Linked DNA regions of Oryctolagus cuniculus. The protein of the gene in region 1 purifies or fractionates together with the protein of each later gene. This does not show direct contact. Links are inferred from orthologs where the notes say so. Each region holds a gene or a part of one and is shown on either strand. Other genes may lie near its edges.

Region 1 (4,221 bases):
CCACCGGGCGGAGGGGGCGGGTGTGGGTGGTCGTCCGCAGACTCCGGAACGCAGCCCAGCCATCGCCCACAGGCTCACCGCTGCGATGCGACACCCCCCAGGTGGGCTGGGCCCCGGCCGCAAACGGGGCACGGGCCCCGGCGACGAACACGTGGCTGCCGCCCCCCGTCGGCGGCGGAGGAGAGGGGGCCCTGCTCTGCCTCTGCGCCCCGGGGGGGCGGAGCTGGAAACTGAGCCACGCGGAGAAAACATCGGCCCCACCCTCCGCCACGAGAAGACTCAATTCCCGTAGCTTAAAAAAAAAATAGAAAAAAAAAAGAACATTGTTCAAATGGTTGCATTCACTCGTGGTGCGGGCCCTTTAAGAGGCGCCCTCCACCCCCCTCCCCCGGCTTACGCAGCCTTCCCGCCACTGGGGCCCCGCTGACTTCCACAGCTAAATTTGGAAGAAGTGACGTAGGGCGAACGCGCCAGCCACTTCCGGCTGCCCATATAAGGACATGGGGCTGGGAGCACCACGGCGGGCGGGAGCGGGCTTCCGGGGGCGGAGCCTCGGCTCTGGGCACGCCCCCTCCTCCGCCCCCGCCCCACCCCCGTGCGCGCGGACTGCCGCGGCCGGCTGGAGCCTGGGGCTTCTGGGGGCGGGGCCTCGGCCCGGACACGCCCCCTCCGCGGCTGCCGCCCCGCCCCCGCGCGGCCGGCTGGAGCCTGGGGCTTCCGGACTCGGAGTCCGTCGGGGCCGGGCGTGTGGGGCGGGGGAAGAGGAAGGCGGCGTTTCCTTCCCTCGTGGGGGCCAGGAAGGAGCGACGCCCCTCCGGGCAAGCACCCCGCCCGCGCGGGCTCCCACTACGGAACCCCCCGACGGCGGCGACCCTGAAAGGACCCCCCAAATCACCTCATCCTTAACCGATCCCGCCCCTGCCCTACAGTCCAGAAGTCCCGTCTGCAGGCCGCACACAGCGGCGACTCTGCCCCACACCACGGGCGACCCCCGGAGGCATCCCGCACACCCTCCCGAGAGGGGAGACCCGGCCCCCCACCTCCGATTTCCCGGGGACCTTCACCGGGGTGCCTCCTCAGGGGTCCCCCTCAGGCTCGCGCGCCCAGGTGACACCACACCCGCCCCCCAGGGGTCTCCTCCCGCGGTCGCTCCGCCCCAATACGACCTCGGGGGTTCTCCCCCCACCCACCCACGCCCTGCAGGAAGAGCGCCGCTAAAATGCCCGCAGCCCTTCCCACACCTGCTGCTGGGGACCCTGGGCTGGGACGGACGCCCCGGGGCGGGCTCCGGGGATGGAACCCACTGACCCCCCACCCTTTCTCAGCTGGAATCCGACTATTATTATTTACACTGCCTCAAAAGCAAACAATTCACTTAGACTGCGAACCCCTCCCGCCCATTCAACGGCCCGGCACTGTGACTGAGAAGGCGGGACATGCGGACCGGAAGTGTGGCCTTTGCCCACACCCAAGATGGCGGCAGCGGGAACGGAAGTTTCCTCCTTTCGGACCTCTCTCTCCTCTGGAGGTCCCGCTCTCGATGGTGGCGAACCGGGGGCGGGGGTGGCGGCGCTTCCTCCTGGGCTGCGAGGCAACCAAGTGGCTCGCGAGCCCCAGCCCGGAGGGGCTGCGGCCTCCTGGGGGAGGGGGGCGGCCATGTCTCTCGAAGATCCATTCTTTGTAGTGCGAGGGTGAGTGACAGCGACGGGGCCGGGGAGGGCGATCGGTGCGCGCGCCGGCCGTCGGGGCTGGGGTCTCCGGGAGGGTCTGGGGGTGGGGGTGGGGGTCTCTGGAGCCTCAGGTTCGTTCGGGGGCGACGCGATTGGGTCCGCCTGCCCCCAGCCGCGCTGCTGCTGTGCCCCCGCCCGCAGCGAGGTGCAGAAGGCGGTGAACACGGCCCGCGGGCTGCACCAGCGCTGGTGCGAACTCCTCCAGGAAGGCGGCACGGGCGGCCGCGAGGAGCTGGACTGGACGGCCAATGAGCTGCGAAATGGCCTGCGCAGCATCGAATGGGACCTCGAGGACCTGGAAGAGACCATCGATATCCTCCGGGAGAGCTACGAACGCGCTGGCACTGCCCGGGTCGGGGGTGGGGGGTGGGCACTGAGAGGCCGGATCCCCCTGGGGGTGGAGGGGGTTCGTCTCTAGCCCTGGCCTTGACCCTTGACTCCCAGCCCACGAATCGTGGAAGCCAACCCCGGCAAGTTCAAGCTGCCCGCTGGGGATCTGCAGGAGAGAAAGGAATTTGTGGAGCGGATGCGGGAGGCGGTGCAGGTGCGCAGAGGGCCCGGTTGTGGGGGGTGGGGTGGGGAGCGTGCAGAAGTCAGGGTGTCTTTCCTCCCTAATACCACCGTCCTCGTCCCCCTCCCAGGAAATGAAGGACCATATCGTGAGCCCGGCCGCCATAGCCTTCATGGAGAGGAAAAACAGAGAGGTACGGCGTCCTTACTCTATGCCCATCTGAATCCCTGGGCGTTGCTTTTCCCCCTGTTATTGTTCCCTAAACAATGCAATCGTGCTTATTATGTTCGCGGGAAAAAATGGAAATCAAAGTTACACACACACACACACACATATGCACACACGGGTTCCTCTGTTGCAGAACCTGGGGTCCGTTTCCGGCTCCACCTTCCTGCTAATGCACATCTTAGGAGGCCAGCTCGCTCCTAATGTGCGCCCTGGGAGCCAGCAGGGGATGGCTCAAGGCTTTGGATCTCTCCACCCACCCACCCACGTGGGAGACTCAGATTGAGTTCCTGGCTCCTGGCTTCAGCCCGGCCTGGCCCTGAATGTAGGGGGCAGGGAGACATTTGGGGAGTGAACCTGTGGATAGATCTCTCTCTGTGTGTCTCTGTTCCAAGCCTTTTCCATGGCTCCATTCATTAAATCCTCATTCCAGGATCAGGAAGGTTATAGGTCTCCCCCTTTTCAGATGAAAAAATTGAGGGTCGGTGACAAGGCTGCCTTGGGGTCCCCTTTGCTAGTGTTGTAGGTGGCAGGTGTGAGGACTTCTGGCTGTCCCACCCCAGATGCCGCCCCCCAGCCCCACAGTGCAGACCTGCCCTGAGGTGGCCGGCCCTCCCCTAACTTGTGACCCGCGTGTCTCTGCAGATGTTGGCGGGCAAACCAGCTGCCCAGAAGTCACCCAGCGACCTGCTGGACGCCAGCGTGGTCTCGGCCACTTCTCGATACATTGAGGAGCAGCAGGCCACGCAGCAGGTGTGTGCTGGTGGCCAGGGGACCCCCCCAGGGTAGGGGTGGGGGCGGTCCCTGCCGACAGCAAACAGCTGGCACCCTTCCTCCTCGCCCCCACCCCTCCCCGCAGCTGATCATGGACCAACAGGACCAACAGCTGGACATGGTGTCCGGGAGCATCCGGGTCCTAAAACACATGTCCGGCCGCGTCGGGGAGGAGCTGGACGAGCAGGGCAGGTGAGGCAGGGGACTCCAGCAGTGGGTGGGTACCCCCGGGGCCGGTGTGCTTGGGGGCCCTGGAACACCACTGTGGTCTTGACAGTATGCTGGATGCCTTTGGCCACGAGATGGACCACACCCAGTCCCGCATGGACGGCGTCCTCCGTAAGATGGCCAAGGTGTCCCACATGACGAGCGGTGAGTCACGCGTGCCCGTCTGGAAGGGGGCGGGTAACAGGTGGCTCCGCCTCCACCCCACCCACCCCGCTGTGACTCCACCCCTTTCCCATTCTAGATCGCCAGCAGTGGTGTGCCATCCTGGTGCTTCTTGGGGTGCTGCTCCTGGTCTTGCTCCTGCTGGTCTTGCTCTGACCTTGACCTATGCGACCTGCCCGCTGGGCCTGCCCCCACCCCCAGGAGGAACAGCTGGAGCCCCCCCCCAGGCTCTCATCCAGGGCCCTGGGCTGAAGCACCCCCCACACCACCACCACCACCAGGGTCCTGTCTCAAGTGCACTTAGCGGGTGGAGGTGGGAGACCTGCCACACTCCCCCCACCCCCAACCCGTGTTAACTTCCGGGACCCCAGGGCCGTCAGTGGTGGCCATTGTACCTTCACAAGTGCCAATCTGGAAATAAACCCGCAGCCTTTTTTTTTTTTTAAATATGTATTTGTATCCTGCATCATGTTGATTTTGAACTTGTAGCTGACCCCAGCTCATTGCACCCACTGCGGGGGTCTGTGTGTGTATGTGACTGTGTATGACTGCCATAGCGGATGTTTGGGAGAGAAACAATGCTTCTGGTAA
Region 2 (3,500 bases), on another chromosome or scaffold:
CTTCCTGGTAGCACCCCGCTGCCGTGGTCTGCCCGGGCCCTGCTGCCCCCCTGCCTGCCAGCAGCCGTTTCCTGAGATGCGTTAAAGTGATGTTCTTAAAAATGCCCACCCGAGAGCTCGCGTCTGCTGGAAGACGCCTCCCACTCAGCTTCTCTCCTCCAAATAACCTGTCAAAAAAAAAACAAAAAAAAAAAAACCTTTCCCAAATTTGAAGTCTTGCAAGAGATGGCACAGCAGAGGTAGCCAGTTCCTCCTCTGGTGCTGTGCTGGTGTGCTTGGGTTTCTGGTGACACCTGCAGGTACCCAGGCCAGATCGGGGGACCGAGAGCTGTGTCCGCCTGCCCGCCCCCTCACCAGGATGTGGGGCAGGAAGCTGGCAAGGGCATACACAAGGCGTCAGTGTGCACAGCCCGCAGCCGCTAAGCGCACTGCACCAGGCCCGGCTGCCCTTGGCCCTGCCACGCCCCTGAGAACCAAGGCAGGCCTGCTTCAAAGCACCCACGGGCAGCTGGCCGTCCTCCGGACATGGCACCGTGGGAGAGGGGCCCTGCTGCAAGACTGCCCAGCGAGTCAGTCCAGCCACCCCTCTGGGTGCCCGGGATCCACGGGCAGGCCCGGCCTCCCCTCCGCAGGCTGCTACGAGGACTTCACTCTCATGTCTCCCACCTCCCTGTTCTCTCCACAGAGGCCATCAACTGTCTGATGAGAGCCATCGAGATCTACACGGACATGGTGAGGGTCCCGGCTGCCCCTCCCTCCCCCAGGGCCCTGCCTTCTGTGCCAAGCAGGTGCGGAAGGGGATGTGGGAACCTGCGGGCTCCCTGAGCTGAGAGTGGTCCCCTCAACTGGTTCAGGCTGGCTGGGACAGGAGCACGACAGTCCCACTCTCCCCTGGCCTGCCTCGCCTAGCCGGCCCCTCGCAGCAGTGAGGCTGGCCCAAGGGTCAGCAGAGCCTCAAGGGAGCTCAGCCCCCACCTCCCCACCCCCGCGCCTGCGATGCAGCCCAGGAGCCAGTGATGGATGACCTGCACGGCCTGGGCGCTGCCCGCTCCTGCCTCTTGGCCTCCCCTCGCCCACTGTGCAGAGGGTGGGCTGGGGCTGTGGGAATCCCTGTGATTACTGCGCACCAGGCTGAGGCCGGTCGGAGAGTGCTCAGCCCCCGGGAACCCAGGGCGTCCCAAGGCCTGGACAGGAGGACCCTGAAGAGCCACGGCCGAATGTCGATGGCCACAGTGACCTCTTCTGTGTCACCCCAGGGCCGGTTCACCATCGCAGCCAAGCACCACATCTCCATCGCCGAGATCTATGAGACAGAGCTGGTGGACATTGAGAAGGTGAGCGGGGGCCGGGGGTCGGGACCAGGGCCTCTAACCCCCACCCCGCGGACATTGAGAAGGTGGGGGGCGGGGCTGGGGCCTCTCACCCCCCCCCACATTGAGATGGTGAGCGGGGCCGGGGGCCAGGACCAGGGCCTCCAACCCCCACCCCGCGGACATTGAGAAGGTGGGGGGCGGGGCCGGGTCCTCTCACCCCCCCCCCCCCATTGAGAAGATGAGAGCGGAGCCTCTCACCCCCCTGCCGGGGGTTGGGCTTCTCTGATATCTGAGCCCCAGGAAAGGGGCCTCCCTGCCCCCCTCCCTCTCGTGTCTCCCCAGGCCATTGCCCACTACGAGCAGTCCGCGGACTACTACAAAGGCGAGGAGTCTAACAGGTACCCGGCCCCCCGCCTGCCCCGCCCCTCGGCGGCCCACCTGCCGCCCCTCACCCCGCCCCTCCCGCAGCTCAGCCAACAAGTGTCTGCTGAAGGTGGCCGGCTACGCCGCGCAGCTGGAGCAGTATCAGAAAGCCATCGACATCTATGAACAGGTGGGGACCCCTGCCCAGGGCCCCCCTCTCCTTTCACCCACTCCCCGCTCTGTCACCCCCTTGGCCTCCCTGGTGCACGGCCAGGCTAACGTGTGCACCCACAGCCCAGCCCTTGCGGTGCAGTGTCCCCTTCCCGCCCATTCGCACGTGGCTTCCTGGGGAGGATGGGAGGCCTGGGCGGCCCTGGGGCCCTCCTCCGTGGTGGGAGGCAGGGAGTGTCACGCGGCTCCCACGGCTGTGCCAGGAGGGCTGGGCCACGGCCATGAGGGAGGCAAGCAGCTGGCCCCGGGGGGAGAGAGGGGCGGGCGCTGCCTCCTGTTCCCGTGGCTGCCGCCCCCTGCCCGCCAACGCGCCAGCCTTCTCCCCATGGTCTCAGGCGCCCCGAGGCCCAGGGTCACCTGGCTTCAGCCCCCACCCCGGCCACCATCAGGTCCTGGTCCTGGTCACTTCGGTTCCAGGTGCTCACCCAGGCCCTTGTCTCCCTGCCCACGGGTCCCAGATTAGCAGGGCTTGTCCCCAGGGGCCTGAGGTCACAGTGCTGGCTCTGGCTACAGGTGGGGACCACCGCCATGGACAGCCCCCTCCTCAAGTACAGCGCCAAGGACTACTTCTTCAAGGCGGCCCTGTGCCACTTCTGCATCGACATGCTCAACGCCAAGGTGAGCCCAGGCCCCCAGCTCGCTCGCGGCTGGCCGCCCGCCTTGGTGGGGGCGCTCTGGCTCCTTGCCGCCCCCCGCGGGCCAGCCTGTTGTGCACAGGAAGCCCTCCCTGACCGGCCCCCCGGGCCCTCCCCATGGCTTTGTTGGGCCAGGTTCACATCCCCCCGCCCTGTGCGCTGAACGGTCACTGCCCTCTGGCCCTCCCAGGGTTCACGCAGGGGTCAAGGGTGTGAGGGGCCAGGCTTGCCTTGTTTGCTCCCCTCCCCCGCCAGGCCAGGCTGGGCACTGGACACCTGCCCCCACCGCCCACCTCCCCTGCAGCCCGCTCCACAGCCAGGCTGGCTCCAGGCTCGGCTCCCGGAGGCACCGCTGGGCACAGAGCCAGGGGGCCCCGCGCAGGGGAGGGGCAGGGCGCTGACTCAGGGCTGCCAGGCCCCTCTGTTAACTGCCCTCTCCCTGTCCCCAACCCTCACCCGCCCAGCTCGCTGTCCAGAAGTATGAGGAGCTGTTCCCAGCCTTCTCTGATTCCCGGGAGTGCAAGCTGATGAAAGTGAGTGCCAGGCCCTCGCTGCCCTGCCCCCGCCTCGGGGGGCGCGGGCTCCGGCTGTCCGACAGTCTTCCGAGGGTTCGCCTCCCTCTGTCTGGGTTCTCCTTACAGTCAGGGCCGGAAGCCTGGGTTCCTCCTCTCCCTCCCTCCCTCTCTCCGTCACACACACACTCCCCGAGACAGGGTAGGGTGGGGTGGGAGCACAGCCTGCCCTTCCCCCGTGGCGTGAGGGCCCCAGACGGGCAAGCAAGGCCTGACCCCTGTGCCCTGCGCCTGCAGAAGTTGTTGGACGCCCACGAGGAGCAGAACGTGGACAGCTACACGGAGTCGGTGAGTGGCCCTCGGAACGTCACCTTCTCTAACCCCGGCTCACCCTGGAGAGACCCGGGAACAGCGGATGGGGCAGGTGGGAGGGGCTGACTTCCTGT

Evidence for each region. Proteins that work in one complex are often made in the same cells at the same time.
Region 2: the proteins of STX10 (region 1) and NAPA purify together in Homo sapiens (affinity purification with mass spectrometry; 3 studies listed by BioGRID and IntAct, with this or other methods). This does not show direct contact. The link is inferred for Oryctolagus cuniculus from reciprocal best matches to the Homo sapiens genes STX10 and NAPA.

The regions. Positions count from the first base shown.
Region 1 is NC_091447.1:62,546,681-62,550,901, reverse strand, and holds STX10 (syntaxin-10), read left to right. Parts: upstream 1-1,421; 5' UTR 1,422-1,436; coding exon 1,437-1,691; intron 1,692-1,842; coding exon 1,843-2,041; intron 2,042-2,179; coding exon 2,180-2,274; intron 2,275-2,371; coding exon 2,372-2,434; intron 2,435-3,111; coding exon 3,112-3,219; intron 3,220-3,325; coding exon 3,326-3,432; intron 3,433-3,517; coding exon 3,518-3,612; intron 3,613-3,702; exon of another isoform or gene 3,703-3,709; coding exon 3,710-3,786; 3' UTR 3,787-4,081; downstream 4,082-4,221. UniProt on the Homo sapiens protein: SNARE involved in vesicular transport from the late endosomes to the trans-Golgi network.
Region 2 is NC_091449.1:10,142,322-10,145,821, forward strand, and holds part of NAPA (alpha-soluble NSF attachment protein), read left to right. Parts: intron 1-685; coding exon 686-732; intron 733-1,256; coding exon 1,257-1,334; intron 1,335-1,655; coding exon 1,656-1,711; intron 1,712-1,781; coding exon 1,782-1,866; intron 1,867-2,420; coding exon 2,421-2,525; intron 2,526-3,006; coding exon 3,007-3,075; intron 3,076-3,351; coding exon 3,352-3,402; intron 3,403-3,500. UniProt on the Homo sapiens protein: Required for vesicular transport between the endoplasmic reticulum and the Golgi apparatus. Together with GNA12 promotes CDH5 localization to plasma membrane.